Linked DNA regions of Ovis aries. The protein of the gene in region 2 interacts with the protein of the main gene of each other region in a biochemical or structural test. Links are inferred from orthologs where the notes say so. Each region holds a gene or a part of one and is shown on either strand. Other genes may lie near its edges.

Evidence for each region. The genes of interacting proteins can lie anywhere in the genome.
Region 1: the proteins of CD2 (region 2) and CD58 form a complex in vitro, tested with the Homo sapiens proteins (3 studies listed by BioGRID and IntAct, with this or other methods). The link is inferred for Ovis aries from reciprocal best matches to the Homo sapiens genes CD2 and CD58.
Region 3: the proteins of CD2 (region 2) and CD2BP2 interact in a biophysical measurement, tested with the Homo sapiens proteins (6 studies listed by BioGRID and IntAct, with this or other methods). The link is inferred for Ovis aries from reciprocal best matches to the Homo sapiens genes CD2 and CD2BP2.

The regions. Positions count from the first base shown.
Region 1 is NC_056054.1:93,935,781-93,940,065, reverse strand, and holds the start of CD58 (lymphocyte function-associated antigen 3), read left to right. Parts: upstream 1-1,485; 5' UTR 1,486-1,507; coding exon 1,508-1,577; exon of another isoform or gene 1,578-4,285. UniProt on the Homo sapiens protein: Ligand of the T-lymphocyte CD2 glycoprotein.
Region 2 is NC_056054.1:94,155,546-94,159,767, reverse strand, and holds the start of CD2 (T-cell surface antigen CD2), read right to left. Parts: upstream 2,801-4,222; 5' UTR 2,772-2,800; coding exon 2,711-2,771; intron 2,572-2,710; coding exon 2,269-2,571; intron 1-2,268. UniProt on the Homo sapiens protein: CD2 interacts with lymphocyte function-associated antigen CD58 (LFA-3) and CD48/BCM1 to mediate adhesion between T-cells and other cell types. CD2 is implicated in the triggering of T-cells, the cytoplasmic domain is implicated in the signaling function.
Region 3 is NC_056077.1:27,062,918-27,067,166, reverse strand, and holds the start of CD2BP2 (CD2 antigen cytoplasmic tail-binding protein 2), read left to right. Parts: upstream 1-1,449; 5' UTR 1,450-2,032; coding exon of another isoform or gene 2,033-2,653; exon of another isoform or gene 2,654-2,677; intron 2,678-2,950; exon of another isoform or gene 2,951-3,035; intron 3,036-3,600; exon of another isoform or gene 3,601-3,669; intron 3,670-4,224; 5' UTR 4,225-4,249. Other genes in the region: TBC1D10B (TBC1 domain family member 10B), read left to right, coding at 153-307, 394-1,029; sesquipedalian-1-like, read right to left, coding at 2,033-2,653. UniProt on the Homo sapiens protein: Involved in pre-mRNA splicing as component of the U5 snRNP complex that is involved in spliceosome assembly.

The DNA.
Region 1 (4,285 bases), about 220 kb from region 2:
TGGTCCCAGGAATTTCACAGATAGAGACACCTTTTACAATTTCATGGCTAATTTAAGAAATAATTTATGGATTCTTACAGTGTAGTTCAAGTATCTTGAGTGGTTTGGGGGTCCCCACCTGAGGATGATGGCAATCACAGCAAGAATAAAGCCCATTTCCACTCTTTCACAACTGGCAAACAGGTTGGTGTTTGTTAGGACAACAGAGGGTCCAGTTCATGAGTCCAGTTCATGGGAGGAGTTTCCTGCCCACATAGTAAGGAAGAGTTCCCTGAGCCTCAGTGGCTGAGCAGAGGTCACTCTGGTGCTTCTGTCTGAAAGAAAAGGAGCTGTCAGGGAAGCCCATGCCAGGAGCTGGTTCTGGGAATACAGTAGTAACTGAGCCTGGGAGCAGGTGGATTTGAGGCAAGAGGACTAGTCAATAAGATAGAGATTTCAAGTCCCTACTGCAGCTCGAGGGACAGAGATTTGGGGAGGCCAAACACTGAGGGAGTGAACAGGTCTGACTCCTCAGCCTGAGGGTTAGGAGGAAGAGTGAAACAGAGCAAATGGAGAAGGGAGAAACCCGAGGCTGGAAATCCCAGCTCTGAGTAGGGGAGTGCTGGGGTGGGAGTCAGTCTTAAGGAAAAGATGACTGCCCTGCAATGAGGAAAGGTAGGCACTTGAGAGGGGTGGGGAGGTTGGGGCTGCACCAGGGAACTGTACACATTCTAGCAGTTGTCTAGCATGTCCCATTTCCTTTCGTTTTAGTATTTGATTGCCTTCTCCGAGTATTTGAGGAAAGAGTGCTTCAAAGAGGCTGTTTTATCTAGAGTCATCAATGGGGCATGTGTGCTACTCGCTCAGTCGTGCCCGACTCTTTGCGACCTCATGGACTGTAGCCCGCCAGGTTCCTCTGTCCATGGGGTTCTCCAGGCGAGAATACTGGAGCGGGTTGCCGTTCCCTTCTCCAGGGAAATTTTCCCGACCCAGGGATTGAACTCGGGTCTCCGGCATTGTGGGCAAGTTCTTCATCGTCTTAACCTGCAGGCAAAACTTCCGCGCTGCTGCAGCTGCTGGAAAGCGCTGGAAGAATAAAGCGCTTCGGAACCTCCGTGTCCCACCGGAGTTCTCCTGTCACCTCCCGCCCAGTGGGACGCAGCTTTCGGGGACCGACAGTCCGATACCTCCAGCTGCGGGGGCGCCTCCATCGCGTTCCTAATGCCAAGGAAAAGTGCGAGAGGAACGAGGATAAACCTGGTTGTAAAAACGCACGCCACTTTTGCTAAAGAGCTCCACAGAGCAAAGCGGGTGGCTGCGGAATGGCAGGAACGACTGGGACCCGAACTTAGTCCGGGAAAAGAGGAAAGGGCCGGCGCCCAGACTGCATCCGGTGCCAGCCCGCCGCGGGGGAGGCGGGGCGCGCGAGGCGGGGCGCGGGGCGGGGAGCGCAGTGGGGCTGGCTCTCCGGCAGGCCCAGGCCGAGTTGTGCGGCTGCGACCCATTAGCAGAAACTGCCTGGACCGCCATGGCCGCAGGGAGTGCCCCTGGGTGTGCCCTGGGGGCCCTTGGACTGGTCTGCCTGTTCCTCAAATTGGGTGAGTGGAGGCCTCCTCCGGGAGCCCACAGGGACCGGTAGCGCGAGGTGTCAGTGGCCCCCGGGCTCCGGGCCCGGTGGACGGGCGCGGCCCAAGGCGGCTGCAAGTTCGGGTGGCGAAGGTGGCGGGGGGCACGCGCGCGGGACCTGGTCGTGTCATCCACAAATCACCATAGGGTGGTCAGTAAGAAACTTGCTCCTCAGGCTCTGAGGTCTGGGAAAAAGAAACCAGACTCCGGCTCGTTCTCCTTCCCTGCGCTCTTCCCTCCCTTTGGGAGTCCTTCTTAACTCCCACGATCCCCGAACCCCGCTTGTCTTCCACCCCGTGTTTTTCTGGAAGGGGTGCCTTTTCTGCGCGACCCCAGTGACTAAGTTACCACTTCCCGAGACGCCATCGTCCAGAACTTGAGCAGATCTTTTTTTTTTTACTGCTTCCGCAGCCCTCGAGCTTGTCCGGGGCGGGCCTCCCCACTGGCAGTGGATCGCGCTGTGTGCGCGCGCGCCGGCTTCTGCGCTGGGATGGGCGCCCCGCGGCCAAAGCCAAGTGCAACCGCGCCTGTCCCGCGGCCGCGCCCTGGGCTGATGGCGGTGGTTCAGAATCGCCTCGCAACAGGAACGAGTGGGCCTCGATTCGGAGTTTCTAAGTAGTGTGGCTGGTGCTGCTTTCCCCTCCCTTCGGAACAGAAAAGGAGGAATGTGTGAGTGTCTAGGACTGTGTTCCTCCTTTTCACACTTCTTCAGTTAAATTGTCACAACAGCCCCATAAGATAGGTATCTTTGTCTCCATTTTTTTACCTCCTCACCCACATCATCAACCTCTTCCCACACAGGCTCGTAGTTAAGTCATAGCCAAACCCCTGGAGCATAGTAACAGCCCCCTTAATTAGTACTGGGAAAATCCCCCTGCTGGCCCTTTAGCACACACATCTGATCAGCCTTTCCTCTCCACTTTGCGTTCAGAGTGTGTTGAGTGCCTGTGGAGGCATGCGTCTATGGAATACAGCCTGGGTGGGGGTCGTCGTGGTGGGTGGGGGTCGACATGTGCTCAAAAGTACCTACAGTGTAAGGCACAGAAGTAAATGTTGTAAGAGGTAAATATAAAGTGCTGCGGGTGTGCAGAGGGAAGAGAGCCACATCTTTGGTGAAATCAAATATCTTTCGTGAAGGAAAAACTTCCTGGAAGGGAGGGTGTGTGAACCTAGCCTCGGAGGACAGGTGGTATCATGCCATGATGTGGGAAAAGGTGCCAGGAGGAGGAGATCAAGAAAGAAAGAGGAGGAGAATGTAGAGGGAAAACTTTGGCAGTAGGGAGCCATCAGTGTCACTGGAGAGTCGGTGTGCCCGTGGGATCTTGAGGCCCCATGGGGGACCCCGAAAGTCCCCTTTGGGAGCTGGGATTCTCTCCTGCAGGCAAAGCAGACCTGTTTCTGGGCCTGACAGGAGCAGACCCATCCACTTAGAATAATCTGGCAGCAGTGAAGAGAAAAGATTGTAGTTGAGAGGGATTGGAGGCAGAGGGGGCCAGGACAGGTACCATCACAGGCGCCAAAGGCTGTGAGGGTTTCATAGGCCAGAGCTGTCAGCACGAGGAAGAAGCACATACCGAGGTTGAACGGATGAGGTAATTCCTTCAGATGTGCAGGTCTCTCCCTGGTCTCAGAAGGCAACTTTGGCCACCACTGCCTGTTGCTATGCTCTTTTCCACTGAAAACAGTCTACCGATCTAGCCACACCTTTTCTAGGAAGACTCTCTAAAAACAGTCCCCTCATGATGGTCTCTCCCACCTAATTCATTTATTTATTCAGAGGTCATTTGGTTCTGCAGACATGAATATTACCTACTCTGAATAGGCTTTGCGCTAAGGAAAACTCTATAGCTCTGCAGATAGTGAGCCCTTTGGGTACCAAGCCGGTCTCAGTGGGGAAAGCTGCCTAACTGACTAACAGTATTGGATCTCAGATCCTGGCCCCGCCCCTCACGGTTAAAACTTCTGTAAGTTACCTCACTTCTCTGTGACTCTGTATCTTTGCCTTTGAAGAGAGAGCAGCACACACGTGAGAGAAAGGATACTAACATCTGCTTCATAGAATGATGGTGAGCATCAGTAATTCAACACATACTTACTGTCAGCTCTATGTCGGCACAGGGAAGCTTACAATTATTAGAGTGGGGGAGAGACAGTGAAGAAAGAAAGCAGTAAGTGTGCAGTTGTTGGGTGGTTGTGAACATTTACTAATACAGAGGTTAGCAGTGCAGAGCAAGGGAAATGGAAGTGGTTAATAGTTCTTACTAATTTTCTTAAATTTTGGAAAACTTAAAATCTTTAGAGTAGTTGTGAAAACAGTACAGTGAACACTTGCATGCCTTTCTCCTTGAATCACCAGTTATTAACATTTTATCACATTTGGTTTACTTCTCTCTCTTTATAGAGACAAACACCCACACCTACCCAGTTACTTTTTCTTGTTGTTTTTTTGCTAAACCGTTTGAGAAATGCAGCTCTTACAACACCTTAACCCTAAATATTTCAACATAGGTCTTGTAAGAATAATATGTCTCCAGGAAGCCCTGGCACCATTTTCAGAGTCAGGAAGTATAGCATGGATAAAAGACTGTTTTCAGATGGGGTCCAGAAGCCAGTCCTGGATCATACAAGTTTGGTACTCACGCCTGTTTGTGCTGTGCTATACTTAGTCACCCAGTCCTGT
Region 2 (4,222 bases):
AACAGAGAAGCTTGAAGGAACAAAGAGATGGAGAGAGCTCTAGCACTGAGGAGACAGATACTGCGTCCCAGGGGCCTGAGGCACCTATGGTTAGCTGTTTCCCTGAAGCCTTGTCCCACGAATCCCCCATAGGGCTATAATTATGAAAATCAGACTCAGAGCAGATAGAGAATTTGCCCAAGGCCATGTGGCAAGAAATGGTGACTGGATCACAAATGGACATGCTGCGTAACATTTACACACACACACAACACGATGGCAGTTGTGTCATGGAAAGATCTCTGTCTTTTGGCAAAAGAGTGAGAATTTATTTTTGAGGTTGTGAAAACATTCTAAAATTGATTGTCGGTTTGGTTGTACAACTCTGTAAATACGCTACAAGCCATAGAATCATGTACTTTATATGGTGAATTTTACGGTATGTGCATTATGTCTCAATAAAGCCGATGGGGTAGGGGTGGGTTGGGGCAGGGTGAGGGCAGAATGTCACCATCCTTGCTGAAACCAGCCTTGGGTTTGGATCCTGACTTTGCTCCCGTCAGACCACTACCTGTTTCCTCATAGTTGATAAGGGAATAACTACCTCTCAGGATTGTTGGGATCCTTAAGTAAGAGCATGTAACAAAGCGCGTAACACATCACCAGTAGCCATTATCACCCAGGCAATAGTAAATGATACGTGGATGTGAAGCTCAAGTTTGAAACAGGATACTTGGCCAAAGTTATGATATCTGTGGTTCCCAGAGCCCACAACAGAGGCCCGTTCTGGCTGCATCTATCTCACCCCATTTCTGAGCTGTAGTCTGTATTCTGGTGCCGGACTAGGTGTGGAAAGTTGTCATCTGCAGGGGGGCTGCCATCTGTGACTGTTGTGGGTGGGGGCTGCTACCAGATTCCCGTGCTCAAGAGCAGGGCTGGAGGGTGACTTTACGAAGGAGGAGGGGGCCCTTCCTTTGGCTGCATTTCCTGTGTCAAGCACGGAAATGCTTATTTGCTCACTGAATCTCTGGCTTGTGTTCAGGCTCAGGTTCCTATCTTCTTCTCCAAGCAAAGCTCAGCTTCTTCTACTGTTATCCATGCCCTGCCAAGTGACTCCTGGACTTGCAACTTCAATGTCAATTCAATTCTACTTTCTCGTCCCTCTCTCTCGAACTCAAGCCACTTTGTCCATCCTTTTTCCACACATGACCCTCAGTGTAAGCATGCTTCAGGCATTTTATAGGCACCCTTTGGTCTAGGCCTCCGATGAGGGAGACCTGGGTTTGATCCCTGGGTCGGGAAGATCCCCTGGAGAAGGAAATGGTAACCCACTCCAGTATTCTTGCCTGGAGAATCCCATGGACAGAGAAGCCTGGTAGGCTACAGTCCACGGGGTCGCAAAGAGTAGGACACAACTGAGCGACTTCACTTGGTCTAGGCCACTGGTTATCAGCTCCAGCTGTGCTTTAAAATCACCTGGGGAGTTTAGCACCTACAATGCGCAGGCCCTGAGCCAAGAAACTCTGATTTATTTGGTCTGGGATGGAACTTAGTACTGGTAAATTTTACTGTACCTCAGCTGATTGCAACATGAAGCCTGAATTAAGACTCACCAACCAGCCCCTTCCTGCTTCCCCCGGATTAAAGCAGCAGCTCCCTGCCTAGTCTTCCATCTTTCATCTTCCGTAGCTACTACTGCTCCCCCGGTACACGCATAGACATACAGAGCCACACCTTGTGTATTTTCTACAGATACCAGCAAGAATACCTTCTACCTTTGATCATTCTGGTGTTGAGCAGATTAGAAACTATTCATCCTTTAATGCATTATTTCCAGCCCTTTCCTGCCTTACCACCACTCCTTCAGGACATCCGGGCTTGAAATTGTCTCTCTGGCAGAAGACCCACTGCCCTTCAGTCAGCCTCCCCTTCCTAGCCTCATAGCTTATCCTTCATCATCCACCTGAAATGGTCACCTTTCCCCCCTTCTGCCCACTGATTCCCCTCCTCCTAAATAATGCCATGTCAATCTAGATCCTTCACGCAAATCAGCATCCCCACCACCTCTGGAGAGGTGAAGTGTGTAGACGTGAGGGTCTATTAGCTGTGGCGTCTATCTGTCTCTCCCGCAAGACTGGACCTTGCATCAAGGCAGGAGGAATGCGTTCGGTTTCCCCTAGGGCTCCCCAAGGCCAACATCTGGGCTGAGGACCTTGCATAAATGCTACTCTTTGGCTTGCTAAATAGCACCCATTTTGCGATGGAGGAATTTAGGGGTCAAAGACTTACCTTGAATCTTCAAATCAAATTTTTTGTTCAGTAGGTTTACTCCATTGGAATTATATACCTCTACCTTATAGAGATCACTATCGTTTCTCATCAGAGCTTTAATTTTCAGAGTTCCATTTGTAAACATATCATATTTGTCCGTCAGCTTGTAAAGTGGCATATCTTTCTTCATTCGTGTAATCTTGTTTCTGCTCTTGTGCCATTGTATATCTGCCACTATGTCACTTCTCTGAAAACCAGGAATGTCCAGGTTGAGATCATGATCCAGGGCACCCCAGACGACAGTGCTTTCAGGGTCTTCACCTACAAAAAACAAGACAGGTGCTGAGGTGCCTCGCTCCCAAGGAAAAGCAGGGCTGTGCCCTTTCTGACTTTTAAGCTCAGTTCAGGGTCTCCAACGAAGCTGCTAACAGTGAGAGTGAAGACCCTCACACCAACTTACCTTTGGTGGGAACAGTGAAAATCAGAAGGAAGCTGGCTAAGAGTTCACATGCGAGGTTCATCTTTGGGGATCGTTTCCTTCTGTGATTCTGTGTTCTTCTTGCAAAAGGAACTCAAGTTAACATCAGTGGAATCCACCCCCTGTGAGCTTAACCACGTGCCTCTCTTTTTTGCTTCTTTAGGTAACATAGAAAACAGACGTACACACACACACACACACATACAAGCGTATACAATTCAGAAAACCAACCTGGCTGATGTAGCTCTTTGCCAAAGCAGGTATATGCCTGAGTGTGTCTTCTCATCATGTTTTAATCCTCACAGCAGCCTTGGGTGGGTTTTATTATGCTCATCAAAGAGAAGAGGAACTAACAAACTATGTAAGCCACTCAGAATCACCCTTTAGTTAACAAAGAGCCAGATGCAACCTTACGGCCCGCCTTCTATGCCCTCTACTGCAGTATATATGAAAAAGTATTACTATTGAAATAAGTAAATTGTTCCTATCAATCAATAAGACAAATGAAATTTGGTTTTTAAAATCAACAAAGAATACAAACAAGCAATCTATAAAAGAAATACATTATAGAAAAAATGTCAGTAAATGTATGAGAAGACATCTAATGCTACAGATATATATATATATAATAGCTATTATATATATATATAAGTCATAAAACACCATCTTCACATTCAAATTGGTAAAATTAGAAAAGATAGTGATTTACATTATTGACAGGAATGTTGGGAGAAGCAGGCACCTTCATATAATACTTGAGGGAGTATAAAGTATACTTCCCATGGATGGGATTTGACAGTTTCCACTAAACTTAAAAAAAAAAAATATATATATATATATATATATATATATTTTAACCTAGTAATTTTAATTTGAGAAATCTATCCTTCAAAAACGCTTGAATAAGTGTGTAAAAATTCTGTCCAAGGATATTTGTTATAGCTTTTTTGGTAATAAAAATTTTCAAACAACTGAAATTGTGGTATATTCATATGATGAAATAGTGGTTGAGTTAAAATAGAATGAAGCAGCCCTAAGAGCATATTATATATCATATTGTATTGCGTTATACTATAATAGTGCAGACATAGGAAGAAATCTGTAAAGACTCATGCCAAACTTTTCACAGCACATCCCTTTCAGGACAGGCAAAAAGGAAACTTTCACTATTTTATCAACTTCGGTGAAATTAGAAATTTTGATAATGAACATATTCATTCTGTAATAACAAGTGTTTTTAATAAAGGGTGCTTAGGACACATCTGTTCCAAAGCATATGCAGATCCTGAGAAACATTTTGCCTCTAGCCCCCTTACCTCTAAGTGGCTCACCCACTAGCCAGCTGCCAACCACAGCCTCCCAAGTCCTGGTCCAGGCGACATGGTGATGGCCATGTGGCTCCCTGCCTTGGCCTTTCTGATAATTTTCCTAAGCTCTCATGGGACAAATGGAGAGCAGATGTCTGTTCTCTCTGAAATATTAATCAATCCTTCT
Region 3 (4,249 bases), on a different chromosome or scaffold from region 2:
CCCATGGTGGCTCATTTTCTTCTCAAGGCCTCCATTTCCTCATCTGTCGGGTCAACAATACACAGGGATGGGGGCTGTGAGTACCCCCTGCACGGGCCAGGCTGAGACCCCCCAGGCTGATCACCCATGGCCTCTTCTCTTCGGGCCTGCAGGCGTCAAGATCATCTTCCGGGTGGCCCTGGTGCTGCTGCGGCACACGCTGGGCTCGGTGGAAAAGCTGCGCTCCTGCCAAGGCATGTATGAGACCATGGAGCAGCTGCGGAACTTGCCTCAGCAGTGCATGCAGGAGGACTTCCTGGTGCACGAGGTAGGTCCTGGCCTTAGCGTACCTCACACCCGCTTCAGTAGATCCCCACCCCACTTCACCCTGGTACCCATGTCTTCTCCATCTAGGTGACCAACCTCCAAGTGACAGAAGCACTGATTGAGCGAGAGAACGCAGCCCAGCTCAAGAAGTGGCTGGAAACCCGGGGCGAGCTGCAGTATCGGCCCTCACGGAGACTACACGGTTCCCGGGCCATCCACGAGGAGCGCCGGCGGCAGCTGCCCCCCCTGGGCCCCTCCTCCAGCCTCCTCAGCCTCCCTGGCCTCAAGAGCCGGGGCTCCCGGGCAGGTGGAGGGGTCCCCTCCCCACCCCCTCCCGTCCGCAGGGCCAGCGCGGGGCCTGCCCCAGGGCCCGTGGTCACCGCCGAGGGACTGCGTCCATCCCTTCCTTCGCCTACTGGCAACAGCGCCCCTCTGGCCCCTAGCGGCAAGGAGGCCCGGAGGCAGGAGAAGGAGCGGCAGAAACAGGAAAAGGAACGCGAGAAGGAGCGGCAGAAACAGGAAAAAGAACGGGAGAAGCAGGAGAAGGAGCGGCAGAAGCAGGAGAAGGAGCAGCAGAAACAGGAGAAGGAGCGGCAGAAGCAGGAGAAGAAGGCCCAGGGCAGGAAGCTCTCACTCCATCGAAAGGCAGATGGACCGCCTGCCCCCCAGGACGGCGGGGACAGGTCCTCAGCATCAGAGGCCCGGCAGGATGCGTACTTCTGACCTCTGCCCTGGGGCTGGACTACGTGGCCCCCTCTTTTCCCTCAGCCAAGAGCAGACCTAGCCTGGGGTCCTGCTCCCAGCCCGCCCTTGGCAGGCTGTCCCTCTTTTTGAGGAAAGTGGCTTGTTCCCCGTCTCCGTGCCAGCCGCTGATCCCCACGTGGCCAGGACAGTCAGAACGGGGGGCAGCTGCATTTCCCTGGGGAAGCAGTGGACACCTCACCTCCAGCTCGGCCCAACTGGGGTCCCTTCCCAGGTGCCACTCTCCTGATTGGCCTTTGGTCACCGCAGGGGTGACCTGTGGCAGTGGGAGTCAGCAGTTTTCAGATTCTTACACTCCAGTCACTCCCCTTACCCGTGAAGTGAAGCTGGGTTCCTTTACCCCCTTCAGTCCTGCCTGTCTTCCCCCAGTTCCTGGTTGGGGGCCCAGGCTCTTCTTGCTCTCCTTCTGGACATCTCTGTGTTGTAATTATGTACAGAGGACCTGGTGGGCCCCGGGTGGGGGTGTTCACTCCATCTTCTGTTCTCTGGTTCTCCCTCCTCAGTGTTCTTGCACTCTAGTTTATTTAAGGGGACACGCACTGGAACAGGAAATGTCTCCCACCTCCCACCACCACCCTCCTTGCTCTCCTTCCTCTTCACCCACCTTTCTCTGTATTCTCAGGCCTCCCCTGCTTTATCTGACCAGGGCCCCTGCCTTTCACTTTGTCCCTTCCAACCCTCCAGCCCCTTCCTGGGTAAGGGTCTTCCCCTGAGCCCCAGGGGGTGGAACCCAATGTTTACATGTTCTTCTGTCTCTGCCCCCACCCTGTTCGGCCGCTTTGAGGAACCGGAAAAGAACCTGCTGTTGTACCTGGGCCTGTCTTTTGCCTTGTTATTTGATGAGTGGGGTTAAAGTAAGGACAAGGAGGGAGGGAGTGATGAGTTAGCAAGGATCTGGGTGTCTCTGGAAGCTGTTGACTGGACTTGGCAGATACCTTTGGGTCTTTAGTCTATTAGTCACTCATCAACACAGTTGTTGCGTTCCTGCTTCACCTCCACCTGCTGGGGATCTGCTGCCTCCGTTGTCACTGGCCTCCTGGAACTGTCTGTGGACAGCCTGCAGCATCCGGATCTCCTTTCCAAAGTGCTCGTGCAACTCCTGGAAGCTGAAGAGGGTCCTGGGGGTGGCTGGGGAGCCACAGTCCTCTGGGGGTGAGCCGGGCTCTTGGCCAGCTGCCTGGCACAGCTCCCGGTACTGGGCCTCCAGGGGGCGTAGCAGCTCAGCCAGCCGCGTCCAGGTGGCTCCGGCCAACGCCCACAGCCAGGCTCTCAGCTCCTCCCGGTTTTCTGCTGCCAGCCTGTAGGCCCGCCCACCATCTCCCCCTGGAGTCCGAATGGTAAAGGCATAAGGTTCTGTGGCTCCAAGGCGTGGCTCCACCTGGCAGTTCTCTAATAGGATGAGACCCAGGGGTGTGTGGTCAGCCTGGTGTTCCAGGTAGAAGAGGAGGTTTCCTCGCAGGATGAACCAGCGGCGCTGATAACTGGTATTTCGGGCCCCCTTCTTTAGCAGGATGCCCTCCCGGTCTGGAGCCTGTGTTCTGTACCCACGGAAGAAACGGAGCACGGACTTTCGGTGCAGTTTCATGGTAGCCCACTGTGGGAAGAAACCCTAGGAGTGGAGAAAGGAGGAGTGGGGCATTTGGTGATCCGGAGTACCCCAGCACTGCCCTCCTCTGGTTCCAGCAGGCTCTTTCTGGGCACTGTCTTGGTCTTGGTCTAGAGGGATTCAAACTTGAGTTTTCAAGAAGGACCTTCCACCCACCTCCCAACCTCAGCTCTGCCCCTTGGGCCAAATTACAAAACCTGGGCAGGACTGTAGTGCTGGGGTCCTGTTTGGGGGTGGGGTTGGCGGATATCCACTACGGCCCTTTCCCAGGCCTACCTGAGATGAGGGCACAAGGGACTTCAGGCCTCGGTACTGGGAACAGGTGCCACTGCCACCTCTCCTATTTGACTCTTCCCACCTCAGAAACCAGGAACTTGGCCAGGGGATAGGAGGCGGCTGATTTTAGACTTCCCCTGGGTCCTAAAAGGAGCTGGGTTCGGAAAGTCCCAGGAGAACCTCTGGGACAACAGCAAGGCTACACCTCGGACTAGCAAAGGGCGGACAACTGGACGCCAAGAGTAGGAAGGCAGGATTTCTAATGAGATGATGAAGGGCGCAGAACCAGCCGTGGGGAAAAGGAGACAACCCGGGAAAGAGAAAACTAGGGCAGGAACCCACCGGCCCTGCTGGGACTTTGTTCCTCCATCGTGAACCTGGGCGCCCCTTTCTCCTCAGAGCCTCTAGTGTTGTAGGAGGAAACCGAGATCACTTCCGGCCATCCTCGTCCGATCAGGGTCTAGGCGTTCAAATGTCCCCTCTTCTCACCATAGTCACCCCACACGGCTCGCGTCACTTCTGGGAGGGGGCGTCTCTCCCCGCGCGGCGCGTACTTCCGCCCGCTCCTTCAGTTGTTCATCTAACCCGAGTGAAGCCACTTCCGGCTTTCCCCGCCGCCTTCCGCAGTTCTCTTCCGGGTGGTGGCGGGCGGGTGGCCCGGATGTAGCCCTGGTGAAACCCTCTCTCCCTTTCTTCCCCCACCTTTCCTGGATCCTTAGGTGAGCGCGTGCCGGCGGGACTGCTGGTGTCCCCGTGGCCCTGCCGCCTTTCTAATTTGTACACAGCCCAAGACAGTTGGGAGTCACCCCGCGGAGTTGGGAGTTCGGCGCAGGGAGGAGCGGGGCTGCCAGGGCGCTAGGTCCTGGGTCTGCCGGGGCCCCTCGGGTTCCGAGGAAGCTGGGGGTGGTGGAGCGGGTGTTTACCCGCGAAGCACATCGCGCCCAGCACTGCTGGGGCCTGGAATAAGGGTGGTCACGTGGGGGAGCCCGTCTCCTCTTGTCAAGGGTGGGGGTGCCCGTAGGAGCTCCTCCGCCCGTCCGCTCTTGCGTCTCCGCACCAGCGGCTCTTTTAGATGCTAAGCCAAGTCCCGGGAGGGGCGGGGGGAGGGGCGGGTTCTGGACTACCAGCTCGCCTTTCGGCTCCTGATTCTGTACTCCCTTCCCAAAGTGGATCTAGTACCCGCCAAGTAAAAGATCTGTTGTGCAGGGGGCCCCCTCGCGGGGAGTTGCCTCCTCACCCAGTTCCCTTAATCTGCACCCTTTCCCTCTGCTCAGTTTGGAAAAGCCCTTCTGTCCAGTC